Rattus norvegicus: one gene and its partner. The protein of the gene in region 1 purifies or fractionates together with the protein of each later gene. This does not show direct contact. Links are inferred from orthologs where the notes say so. Each region holds a gene or a part of one and is shown on either strand. Other genes may lie near its edges. The genes, in order: Ago4 and Tnrc6a.

The links.
Region 2: the proteins of Ago4 (region 1) and Tnrc6a purify together in Homo sapiens (co-immunoprecipitation; 4 studies listed by BioGRID and IntAct, with this or other methods). This does not show direct contact. The link is inferred for Rattus norvegicus from reciprocal best matches to the Homo sapiens genes AGO4 and TNRC6A.

The regions. Positions count from the first base shown.
Region 1 is NC_086023.1:144,086,404-144,097,106, forward strand, and holds part of Ago4 (protein argonaute-4), read right to left. Parts: intron 7,606-10,703; coding exon 7,424-7,605; intron 7,260-7,423; coding exon 7,123-7,259; intron 7,026-7,122; coding exon 6,891-7,025; intron 6,005-6,890; coding exon 5,917-6,004; intron 1,791-5,916; coding exon 1,643-1,790; intron 1,162-1,642; coding exon 1,042-1,161; intron 902-1,041; coding exon 773-901; intron 584-772; coding exon 450-583; intron 1-449.
Region 2 is NC_086019.1:187,118,264-187,128,966, reverse strand, and holds part of Tnrc6a (trinucleotide repeat-containing gene 6A protein), read right to left. Parts: intron 7,504-10,703; coding exon 4,918-7,503; intron 3,667-4,917; coding exon 3,490-3,666; intron 2,745-3,489; coding exon 2,569-2,744; intron 1,478-2,568; coding exon 1,445-1,477; intron 121-1,444; coding exon 40-120; intron 1-39.

The DNA of each region.
Region 1 (10,703 bases):
TTTCTTTACCCTTCTCGTGGCCTTCCTTACACAGGAGAAGTATCTGTACGAGGTGACACAACTGAGGCAGTTTTCCTGCAGCAAAACAAGCTCACCTAGCGAGTTATAACTGCCAAGACTGAGCTGGTTTTCATGTTTACTAGAAAAGGTGCAATGGCTATGGACACCTCCTAAGCGCTGGAGAGTGTTCCAAATAGCACTGTTCCTGCTCTGTCTGCCTCACAGCTTCTGATGAATTACTTCACGAGTTTCTACTTGAAATATGCAGAAGCTGAGTCAGACTCCCAAAGAGTTCTTAGTTTACGATATAGCGCAGGGTCTTTTCTGTGGAGCCAGATGGCATCACTGTGGGCATCAGGGGGTCAGTGCCGGTGTACCCAGCACAGACACAGAAAGATGATATTTCGTATCTAGAAGGGGTATTACTGAGCTGAAAACAGGATACTCACTTTAGCAAATCTTCCCTACATTGTTTCTGAGGCGCAAAACAAGCCACTGCCCATACTTTAATTTCAATGCCAGCATAAAACTGCTTTCCTCGCATGTCCCAGACACCCTGGTTGGGTGTGGCTACTGTTTTATTCTTTAAAAACAAAAAACAAAAAAGAAACAAAAGAAAGAGAAAAGATATTACAATCTAAGACCATTTTTATGTTGAAGGGGGAACAAACAAAACTTTATGTGGTACAGTGAGAAGTCAGAAGCAGTAGTGAGCACGACTACAGGCAAATTCAAAGGTGCAGCTTTTTTGATTGGTACGGAAGCAGCTTACCCGGCCTCCATACTGCAGCATTGGCGCCGGAAGCACCCTGCCCATGAGTTCCGTCATCTCATTGTGCACAACGATCCCAAATTCCTTCAGGTATGGGTCAGGTCCACCCAGCACGCTGTTGCTCTTCACCTAAGGAACAGAAAAGCCTGCATACATAAGAGCAAACAGGAACTGTGTCCCCTCCGGAGCTGTTTATTCTGTTTTGGGGGGCCTTTTTGTTTTGTTTTGAGCTCACAGCTGGCTAATCTTGAAGACTACGCCTTACTGACCAGTCTACTGATTTCCTCCTGTCTGTCAGGAGCAGATCTCGCTGTGGCTTTGATCATGGTGGATGTCTGGTTGTCTGTGAGCTTCTTTATACATCTCTGCCCTGCTACTATATTACAGACCTGCGAAGAAACAAAGAGAAGCTAGGTGTTGTAGAAATGGGGTTCTATACATGAAGTCCTTGTCTAGTTCTAGGAAAAAATAGTTACATAATAAATTTATGTGCACAAGATACTTCAAAAGGACTAAATTCTGCCACAAGTTTATACTATTTTGGTTTTTTTTTTTTTTTTTTTGGTTCTTTTTTTTTTTTTTTGGAGCTGGGGACCGAACCCAGGGCCTTGCGCTTCCTAGGCAAGCACTCTACCACTGAGCTAAATCCCCAACCCCTACTTTGGTTTTTTTTAAAGACAGGTTTTCTCGGTGTAGCCCTAGCTATCCTGGAATTCACTTTATAGACCAGGCTAGACTCTAACTCACAGAGATCCTGCTGTTTCTGCCTCCCGAGTGCTGGGATTAAAGGCATGCAGCAAGACCCACCCAGTCTGAACACAAGAAAAATTAATTCAAGAGATTAGCAAAAGAAAATGTCATTCGGCTTACCTCAAGTGGCAGGTATGTATGCTTTTGCTCTTGTCCCACTTGAAGGCAGGGAAGATGGGAGTATTTCAGCTGCAGATTATATTTTTGCTTAAAATACTGAGCTACTGTACATTCCATAGCTTGACCATTTTCTAGCTGCAAAGGGAAGCTAAAGGAAAGAAAGTCTATTTAAAACTTTTACTTCTTTAACAAGTAAACAAAACCTACTAACATTTTCTTTTTTCTTTTTTTTTTTTTTTTTTTTTTTTTTTTTGGAGCTGGGGACCGAACCCAGGGCCTTGCGCTTCCTAGGTAAGCTCTCTACCAGCTACTAACATTTTCTATGTTGATTAGTCACTTAAGAAACAAAGGCCAGGGGCTGAGGATGTGGCTCAGTGGGGAGAAAGCTTGTTTAACGTGTGCAGAGCCCTGTGTTTGGTCCCCAGCACTCCATAGGCCACTGAAATAAACAGTGGTACATGCCTGTAGGTCCAGCCCTTAGGAGATGTAGGCAGAGAATCAGGAGTTCAATGTCATCCTCACTTACATAGTAAGTTTTAGGCCATCCTGGACTACATAAGACTCTCAAAAAGGGGTTTGGGGAGGCAGCAAGATAGCTCATTAGGTGAAGATGCTTGCTACCGAGGCTGACAACCTGAGTTCAATCCCTGGGACCCATGCAATGGAAGGACAGAGCCAACTCCCATGAGCTGTTCCGTACATGTGTATGTGTGTGTGGGGGTGCATACAAACAAATAAACAGTGACTGTGCAGAATGCATAAAGCCTTTTGTTCAATCCCCAGCACCACCACCAAAAAAAAAAAAAAAAAAAAAAAAAAAAAAAAAAAAGGCTGAGTACTTTCAGTGAAGTCATTTTAGTATTGTACCAGAAAATTTTCACTGAAATTTCAATTTTTGTTGAAGCTAAAAAAAATTTTAGGGCTGGAGAGATGGCTCAACGGTTAAGAGCACCCGACTGCTCTTCCAGAGGTCATGAGTTCAATTCCCAGCAACCACATGGTGGCTCACAACCATCTGTAAAGAGATCTGATGCCCTCTTCTGGTGTATCTGAAGACAGCTACAGTGTACTTATATATAATAAATGAATAAATCTAAAAAAAAAAAAATTTTAATTCAAAATTTATTTTTTTCCCCACACAAAAGAAGATCTAGGTCTGGGGGGCTCATACCTGAAACCCTAGTACTCCAGAGAATGAGGCAGGAGAACCTCTTCATGTTTGAGGCTAGACTGGATGTATTTCTGCCCACCATGTACACGCCACCTGCCTCAGAGGTTAGTAGAGGGCCACTGATCCCTTGGAACTTTAGTTATGGACAGCTGTGAGCTGCCATGTGGGTGCTAGGAAATGTACCCAGATTTTCTGCAAGAATAACAAGTTCTTCTAATCATGGGGCCTCTTTACCCTGCTGGCTACTGAGATATATACTTGGAGTCATCCACATAATTTTATTTGCTCAAGATGAACTTTTTCTAAGTGAATGACTATAGTTATTGAGGCCACATTTTTTAGATCTCCAAGATTTGAGATTTCTAGCCAGGGCAAATTATGTAGTATGGAGGCAACAAGACTAAATACACAGTTTAGGGAGATAGATTAGGAGGTATGAAAAAAAAAAAAAAAACCCTCACTTTGCAAGCCCTATATCCTGAGTTCAATCCCTGGATCATATACTAGAAAGAATACCAACTCCTAAAAGTTATCCTCTTTCCTCCACATGGATGCTATGGCATATGGATGCCCATGTGAACACACACACACACAAACACACACACACACACACACACACACACACACACACACACACACACGGGGGGGGGGGGAATACCATTGACACAAAGTATACTGACAAGAAAAGAAATTCTGCATAAGCAAAATAGTATATAATTAATATAATTTAACACTACTCATTTAGGAGAGCCAAGAACCAATCTTTTTCTCTTGTCAGACAAAAGGTTAGTGATCCTGATGACAAGAATGAATCTACCATATGCAGTAAGTGTACGTGCACTTCCACACATATTCTCACTTAGGCATAGTACCCAATGTACCACAAGTTGTGTGATTAGAAAAGCAAGATTGAGTAAGAGGAAAAGAATGCACTGCTGAGGCAAATGGATGGAACTGGAAAATATCATCCTGAATGAGATAACCCAATCACAGAAAAACACACATGGTATGCACTCATTGATAAGTGGATATTAGCCCAAATGCTTGAATAACCCTAGATGCACAGAACACATGAAACTCAAGAAGAATGACCAAAATGCAAATGCTTCACTCCTTCTTTAAAAGGGGAACAAGAATACCCTTGGGAAGGAATAGGGAGGCAAAGTTTAGAACAGAGGCAGAAGGAACACCCATTCAAAGCCTGCCCCACATGTGGCCCATACATATACAGCCACCAAACTAGATAAGATGGATGAAGCAAAGAAGTGCAGGCTGACAGAAACCTGAGAGACACAGCCAGAATACAGCAAATACATAGGCGAATGCCATCATTAAACCACTGAACTGAGAACGGGACCCCTGTTGAAGGAATCTTAGAAAGGACTGAAAGAGCTTGAAGGGGCTCGAGACCCCATATGAACAACAATGCCAACCAACCAGAGCTTCCAGGGACTAAACCACTACCTAAAGACTATACATGGACTGACCGTGGACTCCATGGTAGCAATGAATGGCCTAGTAAGAGCACCAGTGGAAGGGGAATCCCTTGGTCCTGCCAAGACTGAACCCCCAGTGAACGTGATTGCTGGAGGGAGGGTGGTAAGGGGGGGAGGGTGGGGAGGGGAACACCCATAGAGAAGGGGAGGGAGAGGGGTTAGGGGGATGTTGGCCCGGAAACCGGGAAAGGGAATAAAAATCGAAATGTAGGGGGCTGGAGAGATAGCTTAGCGGTTAAGAGCACTGACTGCTCTTCCAGAGGTCCTGAGTTCAAATCCCAGCAACCACATGGTGGCTCACAACCATCTGTAATGAGATCTGGTGCCCTCTTCTGGTGAATCTGCAGACAGCTACAGTGTACTCATCTATAATAAATAAATAAATCTTTAAAAAAAATCGAAATGTAAATAAGAAATACCCAAGTTAATAAAGATGAAGGAAAAAAAAAAGAATGCACTGCTGGAGACAGACACTAATAGCTGAGAGTAACATCGAGCTATAAAGGAAGGGAGAGACAACTACACAAATATGCAAAGCAGTATTTGTCTTCCCATAATGGCCTGTAGGATGCCTAGACCCTGGTAGGGTCAGCCTGTACTCAGAATTACAGTATAGTAATTGATTATAGTATAGTAATTGATTACAATAACTATTATATTCCTTTTTTAAAAGCTTTAACTGTGTTTGCATGTACATGTATTTGGTATGTGTGCATTTTTGTGTGTGTATGTGTGTGTGCATATGGAGGCCAGGGGTCAGCACGTAGCATCTTTTTTTTTTTTTTTTTTTTTTTTAAAGATTTATTTATTTATTATATACAAGTACACTGTAGCTGTCCTCAGATACACCAGAAGAGGGCATCAGATCCCTTTACAGATGGTTGTGAGCCACCATGTGGTTGCTGGGAATTGAACTCATGACCTCTGGAAGAGCAGTCGGGTGCTCTTAACCGCTGAGCCATCTCTCCAGCCCAGCACGTAGTGTCTTGTATCACTCTCCAATTGACTGTTTGAGGCAGTCTCTCCCTGAATGTGAAGTGCACCCGGTGGCTCGGCTGGTTGATGAGCGGCTCAGGGATCTTCTCAACCCGACTGGCGCTAGAATGGCAGATGTTCAGCACCACGCCTAGCCTTTATGTGGGTAATGGGGATCTGAACTCATGTGCTCATGCTCTACAGTAGGCACGGTATGGATTGGCCATCTCTCCAGGCCCTGATTACATTCTCAAACAGAAGTCGATCTATGTTTAGTACACTTGGTTCAAAAGGTGAACTAAATCACAAGTTCCTAAAATATTTTTTAAAGCTTTGATAAGTGAAAGACTCTTGTAGTGCTGAAAACCACACTACTGTGTCCCATCTTCCCCAATGATGTTCAGTAGTGTCCTCTGTTATCAAGTTGATACCAAATTTTACTGTTAATTTTGGTTTCCTTTATTGTCTTTTTCATTCGTTTTGTGATTTTTCTTTTTTTGAGACAGGGTCTCTTGACTCAGGCTAGACTCAAACTCACAACAATCCTCCTGCCTCAGTCTCTCAAGTACTGAGATTACAGGGCTAAACCATCATGTATGGCTCCCAAATTGTTTTACATGTGATCCACATACGTTTGATGACTGGCTGGTCGTCTTGTCACATTACAAACTCGATATTTTCGTTTCATCTGTCCACAGTGAGTCACCTCAACTTTAAGACCTGAAGAGTTAAAAGGAAAAAAAAAATTAAAATATCAATTTTAATTAAAATCATAGTTACAAAACTAGATTTGAATGCTGCCTTTAAAAAGTCAAGGAGTGGGTTGGGGATTAGGCTCAGTGGTAGAGCGCTTGCCTAGTAAGCGCAAGGCCCTGGGTTCGGTTCCCTAGCTCCGAGAAAAGAAAAAAAAAAGTCAAGGAGTGGCAGGGCACGATGGGAGATGGGATGATGGGACACATCTTTAATCCCAGCACTCAGGAGGCAGAGGAAGGCGGATCTGCATAAGTTAGAGGCCAGCCTGGTCTTTAGAGGGAGTTCTAAGATAGCCAAAGCTATAAAGTGAGACTCTGTCAAAAAAAAAAAAAGTCAGAAGTACGTTACTCTGGAAAGAATCCTCATGCAGATAATAGAGATTTCTCCGAATACACATAAAAGTCAATACTTAATACAGAATAAAAGTTGCAGCAATTTAATCATATTATGGCAAAAAGTCTTAGCTAAGTAAGCTCTAAATTAGGTCCCGGATGATCTAAGATGTTCAACCAATTTTTTTTTTTTTTGAGACAGGATCTTCTACATGGCTCAGATTAGCCTCGATCTTGTGATCTTCTGGTCACAGTTTCACGATTGCTGAGGCTGCAGGCATGCAATACCATGCCTGGCTACATAACTGACCTTACTAGTTCATTCAGTAAGTTTGTTTAAGTATCAGTATGCTCTGGTGTGTATTTCCAAGTCTGAGTGTATACTGACTTTATGGCTAACACAGGGTCCCACTTGCTGGGACTATGTAGGCTAGGAAGGCAACCCAGGTCTATGTGGCTCAAGCCCAGATGATCTTACTGTGTTACACTCATGCCACAATGACATTACCAGGAATACCTACCCCTGATTTCTTTGGTAAACTTGACACGCTGGGAGTCTGTTAGAGGTTTCGTCTGCTCGTTGATGTTCTGGATGTCTAAAACCTCACACATGAACTCAATGATGGGCTGAGCCCGGTAGAAAGCAGTTGCAGATACTAACAAGCAGAGAAAGGATACTTAGCATCAAGGCAAAGTGAAGGGCCCAAACTAATCGACCAAAAACCAGAGTTAGCAGATGGAGCTCCAACCCACCATCAATGTTGAGCATCATCTTCCACATGGCAGGGCGCACAGACTGGTGAAAGCCGAACCAGACCTCTCTGCCCCCTCCCAGAGGGTGGTAGTAACCTTCAGGAGGTGAGAAAAAAGACCGGCCTACTGGAGTGTACCTGAAGAGACAAAGGTTTGAATACTTCATGCAAAACATTTTGACGTCAGTTTGTGAACTGAAATCAAGTTTGAATGGTGCCTTATGTTGGAACCTTTGCATGGTAAGAACATTCTGTCAAAAAGCCTGACATTTGTGGGGAGGGATCCAAAGTAAGGTACTGACCTCATAGAGGGGAGATGCCTTGTAATCACGTCAAGGGCTTGTACTGAGTCATCTGGGACTTCACTCAGGTGTCCAGCTAAAGCTTCTAAAAGCAGCTGAAGGCTCACAACTGACACCCATTGCACTGACACTTTGAACGTTTGGTCCTTGCCCTCACCTGGGAGGGTCACCTCCATATCAACCTAGTGGAAAATACATACAGGTTTACAATAGTTGTAGGAAAGACCCCAAAAATATTCCAGATGGCATACGCATGATGAATATTTATCTTAACAGTTTTTATAACTGCAGACCGTGGGAAACAATTTAATTTTCCATAAATAAAGAACTAATTTAATAGAAAATATTATACAATAATTAAAGATAAGGGGCCAGAGAAATGACATAGTAGGTAAATGATATTACTACCCAACCCAATGACCTGAGTTTAGTCCTGAGCACCTCATGGTAGAAGGAAAGAACCAACTCACATAAGTTATCCTCTAACTTCCATATGTACGCCACAGCAGGCATGAACCCATCATACACACATGCACACATGCATACATACAGACATACATACACACATATATACATACATATACACATACATACATCACACATACATACATACATAATACATACAGACATAATACATACATACACACATACATACATAATACATACATATGCAAAAGTAAATAAGTAAAAATTTAAAAATAAATAAATAAGGAAGACAATATATTGCATATGAACTTTATTATTGTCCTAAGTGAAATAAACCTGACATGGAAAGACAAATATAAGAACTACTTAATGAGGTACTCAGAATGGACAAATTCACAGAAACGGAAGGTAGAATAGTGGGTTCCAGAGCAGGTGGCAGGGAGGTATGAGAACTATTGCTTAGTGGGTAGAGAATTTCTGTTTAAAATAACAGAAAAATTCTAGAGTAGATGGTGGTTGCAAGTACACTATGTGAATACTCTTCTGGTGTTTCTGAAGACAGCTACAGTGTGCTCACATAATCAAATAAATAAATAATTCTTTTTAAAAAGATGTGAGATCAAAATAAACATCAAGATAAATAAATAGGGGTTGGGGATTTAGCTCAGTGGTAGAGGGCTTGCCTAGGAAGCGCAAGGTCCTGGGTTCGGTCCCCAGCTCCGAAAAAAAAGAACCAAAAAAAAAAAAAAAGATAAATAAATAAATAAAACCAACCCAACAACAGAGTGGCTGCTCGTGCCTACAATCCCAGCAATCAGGAGGTTGATGCAGGAGGACCATGAATTTAAGGCCAAACTGAGACATATCCCCCCAAAAATTGTCTTGGATTAGAAAATATAGTTAAGGGGTATCAAATTGTATATGAATGGAAACAACACCTAGACATACTGTTTAGTGAAAAAATCAACAAATACATACAACAAATAAGCATAAGCATACATGCAAAAAGATAACGTGAAATATCTAATGACAAGTAATGAACTAATGTGGGATGCTCCTTTACAAGGAGAATGGAACTGGCATGTAGGAAAGTCAAGAAGTCATAGCTTTTGTGAATTGCCTAATAAGTTTAAAAGGAACATATATTCACATAGTAGTCATAAATTTTGTAAAGATTTATTTATGTATGTGAGTATATGGTCACTGTCTTCAGGCACACCAGAAGAGGGCATCGGATCCCGTTACAGATGGCTGTGAGCCACCATGTGGTTGCTGGGAATTGAATCTGGATCCTTGGGAAGAACAATGATTCTTAACCACTTAGCCATCTCTCCAACGCTACATTTTTAAATTTAAAAGTACTTTTAAAATATTTTCTTTCTTATCTACTTTTGTGTATGAGTGCAGGCTCCGATGGAAGCCGGGAGAGATGGACTTCCTGGAGTTGAAGTTACGGGCAGCTATGCCGCCCAGTGTCAGCCCTGAGAGTCAACCTCAGTCCTGGGAGTCAACCTCAGTCCTGGGAGCCAACCTCAGTCCTGGGAGCCAACCTCAGTCCTGGGAGTCAACCTCAGTCCTGGGAGCCAACCTCAGTCCTGGGAGTCAACCTCAGTCCTGGGAGCCAACCTCAGTCCTGGGAGTCAACCTCAGTCCTGGGAGCCAACCTCAGTCCTGGGAGTCAACCTCAGTCCTGGGAGCCAACCTCAGTCCTTGGAAATGGCAGCAAGTGCTCTTAATGGCTGAGCCATCTCTTCAGTGCCTTCTGCAAATGTTCACTACATAGTTATTTATCCATTCCTTTACGTGTATGTACATGTTCATGTTTGTAGGTGAGTATGTGGTATGGCACACATGTGGACATCAGAGGACAACCTGTGGAAGTCAGTTCTCCTCCTACCACATGGGTTCCCAGGGACTGAATCCAAATTTTCTGGCTTGGATTACACTATACCCACCAAGTCACTTCAGCATCCCTACTTTTTTTTTTTTTAAACTTTTTTTTTTAAGATTTATTTATTTATAAGTATACTGTAGCTGTCTTCAGACACACCAGAAGAGGGCATCAGATCTCATTACAGATGGTTATGAGCCACCATATGGTTGCTGGGATTTGAACTCAGGACCTTTGGAAGAGCTGCCAGTGCTCTTAACCACTGAGCCATCTCTCCAGCCCCAGCATCCCTACTTTTAAAAGGCTTACAATCCACTGTAACTGCAGCTCCAGAAAATGCGATGCCCTCTTCTGATGTACAGGTGTACACATTCACGCACGTTCATTTGCATAAATGTAATTAAAACATATACTTTTAAAAAATAATTTTTACTCTTTGTTTTTGGTTTGTTTGCTTTTTTTTTTTTTTTTTTTTTTTTTTTTGGTTCTTTTTTTCGGAGCCGGGGACCGAACCCAGGGCCTTGCGCTTCCTAGGTAAGCGCTCTACCACTGAGCTAAATCCCCAGCCCCGGTTTGTTTGCTTTTATTTAACTCGGGGTCTTACCACCCTGGCTGGTCAGGAATTTCCTGGGTAGAGCACACAGGTTTGGAACTCTCTGTCTCCTGAGGCCGGGATTAAAGATGCGCACCACCATGCTTTTACTACTAGCATGACTGTTTCAGAGTGCACTGTGGTTTTGCTTTCGTAAGTGAAGCTGTGAGAAGCCTGTTGGTAGGCAGTACTTTGCTCCTGCGAATGTAAAATATGGAATACATGCAAAGATGACGGAATCATTGTAACCCGTGCTCCTCCAACCTGTAACTGCCAGCAGACTCACTGATTGTGGACACTGTAACCGGTCACGTGTGCAGCCCTGAGTGAAGGCCCCATAGAGAGGAGGGGAGAGCAGCAGGAAGAGGAGG
Region 2 (10,703 bases), on another chromosome or scaffold:
TAAAAAGGGAATTATTGGCTGCTAAGAAAATATACTTACTGAAAAACTGATATTTGAAAACTGCTTAACGAATGGGTTTATCCACGCGTCCTCTTGTTTGTTTCCGCCTTTCATCATTCCCTTTGTAAATAAAAGAGTAGAGAAGATGCCATGGCCATCTCTAATTATCTAGACATCATGATGGACTAGTAAAACTTTAAGACAATTCCCAACTCTCATTTTTAGCCAATATTTTCTCCTTCAATCAACTCTTATCAGAGGTGTTAACAATTAAATAAATAAACTCATTTGATTTTCAACTTCCTTTGCTCCAGGCCTCTGGTATAGCTGTAATGTACAGAGAGATCTCTAAAGGCAGGCAGTCAGAAGGAAAAGACAAAAGCAATGGAGGACCGTGGGACATTCCCGCCTCATAGATGGACTGTGCTCCTTGACATGTATCATCATTTGGGGTTTTGGAACTCTCATACCAAAGTAAAAATTAGATTCTCAGCTTAGTCCTAACAAACTAATTTAATCCATAATTTAATCATGAAGGAACACTTTACTAAAATGTTTCCACACAATAGTGTCTTTAATGCTTTCCTTTTGTTGTTAAGAACATGATATCCTGAGCAGCAGTTGGGCTGCTGTGGTAGGTTGAGCAGTACAGATATTACAACTGAGAACTGGCAGCAGTCACAGAGAGAGGCTGGGAGCCACAGAGACCTAGGCCTCACACTGACATGATGACCACAGGACCATCTCAGTGTATTAATGTCCTTTCCCAATGCTGTTACCTGTTCCTTCTGACTGTGAAAGAGCACAGCTTAACTCCCCACAAAGGCAGATCGTCTCTAAAGCAAGCACCTAACCTTCTCCAAAGATGCTGAAGGCGCCTCTTTTCCCTGTTTCCCCTTTCCACTTCCTCCCATGGTCTGAACAGCTGTCAGTCCCTGCCCCTTCTATTCTTAAATGTATTTCTAACTGTTCTTCCTTTCCACCTGGGATGATGTAGCAGCCTCTTGAGATCCCTACCTCTGGTTTTTCTCTACTGCAACTGGTATTTCACACCAACATTAGTCAGCATTCTTTGAATAAAAAGTTTTTTTCTTTAAGCCATGGTAAATTGCCTTCTTATCAATTTCACTGGCTCCTTACTTCGCCAATAATAAAGTTCCTATTTATCTTTCCTCTAATTACAGAGCCAGCTTTCTCTGTCATTTTTAGAAATCTTTCAGTTCTATCAGGCCACCCCAGGCATCTTCTACATCCCAGCACATGTGTGCTTGCCTGATGCCCCACCAGAGAATAGACGCCCTGAAGGGGCTGCTCTTCAGTGTATTGAACCCCAGCACCAAGCACAGTACCTGGCACACAGCAGAAGCTAAATAAGAGTTTGCAGTTGCTCTCTAAAGATTTTTACTAGTAGAAACAAAGGAGAAAGAGTAAAAAGGCTACACACCCTTTCCCTTCTCCTTTTTTTGCCACTCAGACCCTGTAAGGAAAGACAAAGTCACAAAACAGCATGGTCCAGTGGGAAGAACAAGGTGTTGAATCGCAAGATCTAAGCTGAGTCCTTGCTGTATCACTTACTACTTATGCAACTTTGGGCCAGTCACCACCTTCTCCAGTCTCAACTTCCTCCTCAGTAGCGTATCTCAGAAGGTTATGAGGATCAAATGATTCATGTAAAACATGTACAAGCATGTCATAAGCTACATGGCCAGGCATCAATAGGCAAATCCAGCCAAATGGAAGAAATTATAAAATGAAAATGGCAGGTCCTAGACTTTGAATCCCAGGATTAAAACGGACCAACCTTGGCTTTGAGTTAGGCCAAGTACCCACCAAATATATGACTTTTCAAGGGCCTCAAAAGGTAATCATTCTCAAATAGGGTGATGAGGACAGTTTGAAGTTGCTTGTGAGACTGGGCACCTATTTTAAAAGAAAGATGTCCCCAGGAGAATCTACCTCCAGCCCCCAGGCCCAAATATTACTACTTCCCAGGACCCAGTGGTTCCTGAACCTGGCTCAACATCAGACATATTCGTTGAGCTGCTGCAATTTCCAAAACTTGAGAAGACCTTAGGGTATAGCAGACTATGTTTTTAACAAGTGCAACCCATTTCTCATGTAAAGCCGGGTATGGAAACCCTTCCTAGGGATTTTCATCACAGGACCTTGGGGATGAGAAAGGGACAATGATGGTTAGTGAATAAACAGAATGGTGACTCTGGGTGAGGAGGTTAATGGATGATGGAGATGGACTGGCAGTGAAATGGAAAGTCAACATGGATTTGCCCTTCTCTTCATCCTCACCACTGCTGGCACCACGTGGGGCTTGTTGCCCCAGGCAGTACTGGTGGAGCTGAGGAGTAGAGAAATCCTGAGCTGTAGCAGTGGGGAGAAAGGAAGTTCCCATGGTCTGTTTTTCTAGGTAGCTGCCCATTCAAGAGGCTATACCTAAATTGGGGGCTGCCTGGACTGTACTGACTGCCATAAACGGGCAGATAGATTAATTTTCTGTGGGTAAACTACCTTGGAGATTTGAAGTTGCAAGAGCAAAGCTCTTGAAATGTTTACCTTGGATGACATTTTCTTGGTATATGGTGGCCAGTTTAAGGATGAGTTAAGCTCTTGAGATGAGCTACTGTTCCACATCCCAATCTCTACATCCTCCTCCTCTTCCCAGCCAGTGGGGCGACTTCCAGGCAATGGCGTGTCCTCACCACACCAGCCATCTTGCATAGATTTGGGTCCTGATTTGTAGATTTATGATACAAAGGCGAACAGAATTTATGAAAAAAATTCTCCAAGAGTCAGGCATGTTTCAAAGTACAGAGACATAGGAGCTAAACCATACACATCTTTACTTCTCAAATGCATGTAACAGAAAAGGTGCTTTTTGACTATATTCAAAGACACTGGAAAGAACTTATTTAAACATCCAATGAAACTTTCCATGTCTTCATAAATCTTAGGATTTCTAATCATGAGCAATAGTGGTTTCTTATGCATACCTACTTGGTTTTTTAAAATGATACAAAGAACAGAGGGTGAATGAGGTGGAAAAGACAATTGTCTATACTATTATTCTCTACAAGGCTGTTCAAAGGGTACTGAAGCCACAGTAGAACAAACATCTATCTCTACACACACAGGCCTTGGGGCTCCCATAATGTGTCCTGAGCCCAACATGGTAGAGGAACAATATTCATGTACATTTCAGGGTCCTTCCCTTCTAAGATTTGATGGTTTGGACACGTGTCTCACATTATATTATCTAGTCTCTCAAGCTGAATGGCATAAAAGCTGCTACATTCAGTTTTAAATAATCAAACAAAAGAATTTAGATTTAGTGGAGGATATGTAAATTATTCTTAGTTACTTTTGAGAAATACATCAGTAGTGACAATTTAGAAGCACTAGCCCATTTTTTAAATGTAGTTCATGAGTTTATCATCAGCACTACAAAATGGCTGCTAACAATCACAGATGACTTACCAGATTTGCTTAATGATTGTGGACCAACAGAGTTGGAGCCCCACGTGGATGCACTGGATGCTGCAGTAATGGGTTCTCCCCAGCTGGGACCACTGTCTATGGGCTTGCCCCAGGCTGAAGTACCATTATCCACAGTCGTGGCTGGAGTAGAAGGCTCTGCCCAAGGCTCACCCCAGCCTTTAGAAAGCATGGGAAAAAAAGTCATCAGCATAGACATTAGGAAACACCTTAAATAAAGGACACAAGGAAGAGGACTTGGGAAGCGAGATGAAGAATTTCACATCACACAACTGAAAAATGATGCTGTGACAAGCAAGAGGCATATTTTGTGAAGAACACAAATTATTCTGCATTAATATAACTGTATAACGTTTTAACCTTTTCTTTCAAAACTGCCATCTGGTGTAAGAGGAGACTCTTTTGAATAATTTAATATAGCAAATCATCTTCCTAAAAACGTCAGGTTCTTCTGAACCAAAGCTTGAGACCTGAGGCAGGTGCAGTGTAAAGTTACACTAATTACATTTTACTGAAAGGACACTCTTCCCATAGCACTGTAGTGGACAACAACTGACTATGACTACCATCAAGTAAACAGCCAGCCTACCTTATACACACGGGAAAAGAGGTCTACACTTTCCCTAAGAGTTAAACATAAATCAATAGAATAGGCTTGTATTTCAAAACAAAACAAAAACCCCACAAAATTAGGCACTAAAAGAAGAATTCCTGAAAACATTACCAGCTCTCTAACCAATGCAGCGTTACTCAATAAAACTCCCATTAACGGGGTTGGGGATTTAGCTCAGTGGTAGAGCGCTTGCCTAGGAAGCGCAAGGCCCTGGGTTCGGTCCCCAGCTCCGAAAAAAAGAACCAAAAAAAAAAAAACAAAAACAAAAAACCTCCCCATTAACAAAGGCATTGTGGGCCTGTCACATTTACAAAATGTTGCCCTATCAATTTACAGAGAAAAGACTTTGCTCAGTACAGGAGAGGAAAGGTCGAGCATACTAGAAAGCAGTGCAATGCTTCAGATGCACACACTGTATCCAGTTATCTGAGTAGATGCTGACTTCATGCCTCATTTAGGAAACCCACTAAGGTCAAACATAATATCAAATATCCAGAGTACTGTACTCAGGCACTTGGCTTTATTGTACTTCAATAGTGAAACCACATTATTAAGGCTTGGTTAAGAATACCTAAATAAGTACGTAACTCTGCCACTCAGTCCCTTCTACTACATTCCTAACAGAATAGGGCAACACTCCCAAGACAGAGCTGTTGCCTGGTAGACTTCACCTCTAGGTCACAGCTGAAAGGCCTTGATGTGCACGCTCAAGAACTGTGATACACAAATCTTATGACTGCATGTCAACACAAAGCTTGCTTCCACAATACCACTGCACTCCACATAGGAACGCTTACCAGAGCCACTGCTGGTCTCCTTGCTTGAGATGGCACTTGCAGCCGGCAACAACCGGTGCATCTGTGCTTGCTGGTCTGAGCGGCTGCTGCCTTCTGGGATGTTTTTATTCCACATGTTCACATTTTTGTAGTTGTATTTGCTTGGATCTCCCCAAGCTGAAGTTCCATCATCGATCTCCATTTTTCGTCGTATAGACTCTGGGGATGGTTCCTCCCAGCCTGTGGGTTCTTCCTCCTTTGCTGGAGCAGGAATAGGTCCCCCAAGCCAGCCTGTACCAGGAGGCTTGCTGGTGGCTGGTGGGATTCCCCACGATCCAACAATGTCTTGTTGCTTGTTCCAATCTGGAGAACTAACTGGTTTTGATGAATCTCCCCAACCTAGGGACTGATTACACTTTGGAGGGTCTCCCCATCCCTGGGAAGAGTTAGGTTTAGAAGATTCATCCCATCCTGATGAGTTATTTGGATTTATATTATTTCCCCAAGTAAAAGAACTAGTTTTACCAAGTTCGTTCCAACCAGAAATGGACCTGTCGCTGTCACTGCCTCCTGAGCTGGATTTCTTATTAGCCTCACCCCAATGGTTACTCCTGGAAGATTCTCCCCAGTTATCACTGGCAGAAACGGACCAACCTTGGCTTGACTTTTGTCCATCGCCCCAGCCTTGTTTGTTCTTTTGCGAATCATTCCATGCAGACTTGTCTTCTTTGCAATGCCCCCACTGATTGCTCTTGATCATTCCTGTAGCAGCAGAATCATCTTCCCACCCCCCCTGGCAGTTTGAGCCTTTGGAATCTCCCCACCTCAGAGTAGGTTTGGGATCACCCCACCCTGATACAGATGAGGTATCATTACTATTAGGGCTAGTCTTATCTGTACATGCCCCTGAGTTAAAAGTCTGTGTTGCAGAGCTTCCCCAGGCCTCTGTCCCATTGTCAGTCTTTCTTTCCCCTCTTGGTGATGTCTCTGTATCCCAGGCAGTATTCTGCTTAATAGGAGTCTGTCCCCACCCAGAATTGGATAGGACACGTGGATCTAAGTCAGTTCTGTTTACAATGCTTTGGAGTAATGTGTGCTGATCAATTTTTCTTCTATCTCTACTCTGGCTTTCCCCGGTTACTTTTTCTTCAAGGCGTCCAGTGCTCTCTGCACTACCATCACTCTCCACTGTGCCTCCTGCTTTGGCCCACACACTGTTTTGCTCATTCGTCTGAGATGTGCCAGAACCCTGATCATCTTCCTCAGTAGATTTCCATCCATTTGTAAGTTTCTTACTACCATTGCCATTTGCACTGTCATTGGAATGCTGGTTGCTAGGCAGTTTGTTCCACTCAACACTGGACAGACTAGTGCCAGTGTTCTGTGCAGGACTTCCCCATCCTCTTCGACTTCCTCCAGAATTTGCACCATTTCCACTTCCCCATGGTGAACTCTGGGAATTCACTGTCCCAGGCTCCCATACACCTCCCCCTTTATTTGTACTAACTTGAAAGTTAGTGCCCATAGGCCCATTTATGCCAGGCTGCATTAGAGTTGCATTCACAGTGTCACCATTGGCTTGGCCATTAGGGCCTGCACATTTGTCGCCAGAGTAATTAGAACCATAGGCACCCCATGTAGTACCGTAGGAGCCTCCAGTTTTTGACTCTCCATTACTAAGGTGAGAAAGGGAAGTGCCATTCAGAACTGACGGAGCCTGTATCTGAGGATGATTCATTGTGCTCACACGCCAGGCCCCTGGATTACTAGTAGGCAGTTCATTATTTTGTACTGAACCGGAGTTTGGTAAACTAGAGGTCATAAAGTTAGTAGTGTTATTTGGTCCAGTCGTTTCAGTGGTGATATTCTGAGGTTGACCACTGAATGAAACCTTCTGTGAACCACTTACTTCAGGCTCACAAGTTTCCTGAAGGCTACCCCAGGTACCATGGGTAGAAGAGCCACTGACTTTAGAGTTGATACTCTGATTGTTAGGCATCTGGCCTATGGTACTACACTGAATATTGATGCCAGAATTCCCACTCCCTACAGGCCCTTTTAGGGCAAGTCCGTTGTTTTCTAATACTGGCCAGGCACCATGGTTGCTAGCTGAATTCAAAGTGCTTGGATTTAACCCTCCATTTGATGAAGAACTTACAGTGCCCCAAGCATTCATTCTACTGTTACTACTTTCTGGTTTGCTTTCAGGAGCATCCACAGAGACCTGACATGTGCTTATTATGGCTCCATGGGGAAAGCCCCATGGCCCAGTACTACTTCCATGACCCACATTATTGCTGCTGCTACCAACCACAAATTTGCTTTGGGGACCGAGTCCAGTGCTGTTCCGAAGGCCATCTTTCTCACCACCTGTGTTCCCTGAAGCCATGACAGTGATGTTTCTCTCTGACTCAGAATTGGAGGCAGAATCAGCATCTATACATTCTGAAGCCAACTCAGGATCACTGCCAGGGGCTGAGGGCCATGCTTCTTTTTCCAACAAGTCGTTTACAGCATTCTTACAGCTTGTGCTACAGTCACTTGTAGAAGACACAGGTCCCCGCTGGCAATTTTCATAATGGGATCCTGAAGTATTATGATTTATATCTAAAATAAAGGAGAAGTATATCTATTTGTAAGTGTTAACAAATTTCCAAAATGATATCACGTAGGTTGATAAAAATGGCGATCCATACAAATACATGTAGTTCCTCAACATTAGCAAGATGCTCCGCGCAGAACGGCTTTGAGGCACTAATTATCTTTCAGCCACCAATTCTCTATGTTCAGTAATTTCACAGACAGAATTCTGCTGCTTTGCTCAATACCCTACAGTATAGCATGGAACAGAAAGTCCCACAGGGATACATGTAAATATATGAACAGATAACATCCAACAAATACAAGAATTCTAGAGGGAGGAAGAATGGGTGGTAATGATGAATTAGGACAATCCAGGCTTAGGACTTGATGTGAGAGAAAACGGACTGGGATGCAGAAAAGTAGGTAAGTGTAAGCAGACCAAAATGATTCCGTTTCCCAGAACAGCTTTTCATACGACTCCTTTGGGTTAGAACAATTCTGTAAGAATCCCAAAGCCTTTGCACTGTATCTCTATTTTATTAGTGTATACATTTAAATACCATGCTTATACACAAGGAAGAACATTAATTTTAAACAATTTTATAATTTACTTTCATAGCCATGCTTAGTAAGAGACAACAGGGAAAAATTGGTATGTTGAAAAATCACCAAATTACAGCAGCTGATACGGAAGGCCATAGGGACCAATCATATGACCAAGTCTTATTAGACTGCCATCTAACTACCATCTGTCTTTATTTATTTCTATTCTTTCCCATAGACAACATCATTAAGTATTTTTGTTAGTTTCTCAGTTTATCTCATTTAAGGGTCTAGTGGATAGAAATTTATCTGTGACATTAACTTCATAAAACATCTACACTTAGGCTATCTTGAAGGGTAGCTTACACTATAGTTCCCAGGATGAAGGTCTAGAAATAAATCAAAGTCACACTATTAGTGTGATTTGCTAGTACAGAAAAATGATGCTGCTTGTACCACTTTCTCTCAAAGTACAAATGCTAAGAAATGAATAATGAAGAGCGGTAAGAAGGGCAAGAAGAGCAACTAGAGAGCAACCTGTAATAATACCCAGTGAACATAATTTAAGTAAGTGCTGCCAAGTGCACCAACTACTGTTCCCTGTACAGTTACTGCATCACAGTGTGGGTACCTGGTGATGGCTATACCGTTAATCTAAGCCTTCAGGAGGCAGATCTGTGACTCAGAGGCAGGCAAGAACTAATTGATAGAACCCTGTACATCCATTTCCCCCCAAAAGTAGTCAATGATATTTGTCTTCTCTATTGCTCATGTAGAATCCATATGATTAAAGAACCAAAAAGTCAGTCTTCCTGGAAGAACTATTCTATACTGCAACCCAAAGGGGCAGTATCAACCCATGGCCAGCACTCACTGATATACAGGAGCAGGTCTGCAAACCCCTGCACCAAGTGCCTAGAACAATTGTAGAGTACAAGTATTGCTCTCACTTTGTATGTAAGAAACCAAGGGACAAAAGTTAAACTTGCAGAAACTGAGTGAGAGAGGCAAGATGTGCTGGACAGTTTTAAGTTAACATCAAACAAGCTAAAAAATCATAAGAGGAGGGAACCTCAATTAAGAAACTGTCTCCAAGCTACACCTGGTGGTACATGGGGAAGCACAAACAGATCTCTGAGTTTGAGGTCAGTTTGGCTTATAGAACAAGTTCCAGGATAGCAAGTACTACACAGAGAGACCCTGTTTCAAAAAAGCAAAACTAAAATCAAACCAAAGACCAAAGAAAACCAAAAACCAATCAGCCTGTGGGTATTTTCTGGATTAATGATTGATGGGGGAGTCCCAGGCCCACTGTGGGTGGTGCCATCCCTGGGCAAGTGGTCCTGGGTTCTGTAAGAAAGAAGACTGGGTAAGCAACACCCCTCCGTGGACTCTGCATAAGCTCCTGCTTCCAGGTTTCCTGCCCTATTTGAGTTCCCACACTGATTTCCATTGATGATAAACAGTGATGTGGAACTGTAAGTCAATCAAAAATTAAACCCTTTCCTTCCAAAGCTACATTCTGGTCAGTGTTTCATCACAGCAACAGAACACACAAGATACACAAGGTAATCACAGTCCTCCATACAACAAAGTAGCTTTAAAAAAAAGGGGGGGGGGAAGAAAAGAAAAAAAGGACTGACACACTAGCAACAACAGGCCTCAAGCTTGGGTCCTTCATAGATGCTGGAAGACAAGAACCTGTGTGATGAGGTCATGTTATTTTCATCTGGGGGTCAGAGGTGCTAGCGACTGAACCCTTTACATGCCTGGCAAGTATTTTAACACTGCGCTTTATCCCTGGCCTTTTGATTTCTGAGATGGCGTCCCTCTGTGTAGCCCAGGCTGGTCTTGAATTTGTGAACAATCTTTCAGCATTAGTCACAGGAATGTTGAGATTATGATTACAGCCATGTGCTATCATATTCAGCAAAAGGAGGATGGGGATAACCTTTAAATAAACTTAGTTGTTCAACTAACCATCAACTACCTAAGAAAAGCATTTAGTAACTGCTGTCAGCAGGTAAGAATTCCACGAAAGGTCAGGCATTATGGAGCATGCCTTTAATCCCAATACTTGGGAGGCAGAAGCAGGCAGATGTCTGTGGGTTCTAGACCAGCCTGGTCTATAGGCTGAGTTCCAGAACAGACAAGGCTATGCAGAGAGAGCCTGTCTCAAAACAAAACAAACAACAAACCAAGAGACATTTTATACCACTTACACAGACTCTGAGACCAAAGGCAAGACTTCTCTCTGTCTGCCTTAGTTTCCTTCACTAGATAGCAGGGTCTGCTCTCACGTGACTGCTACAGAATTAATGACTAAAGGAGCTGTATCTGATCCATGTAAGGCACCAATAAAGGGCACTACTATCATTAATGAATGTGCACCCATGAGCATCAGACTTCTACTCCATCTGCCAAACACGTTCTCACTCATCTCATCACCCACATGAAGGACAAATCACAGCTAGAGCAACATGTCTGCTTTACTACTGTAAACACAATGTCAACCACTCACATACCTCATTCTAGAAAACGTGGGGTGAAGCAATAAAACTTCTTTAATTAATTTTCCATAACTCGGTATTTTTCCTATTTTTTTAAAATTATTTTTATTTACACATATATCTATATATTTGTGTGACTGTCCCATGACATGTATGCCTGTATATGTGTTC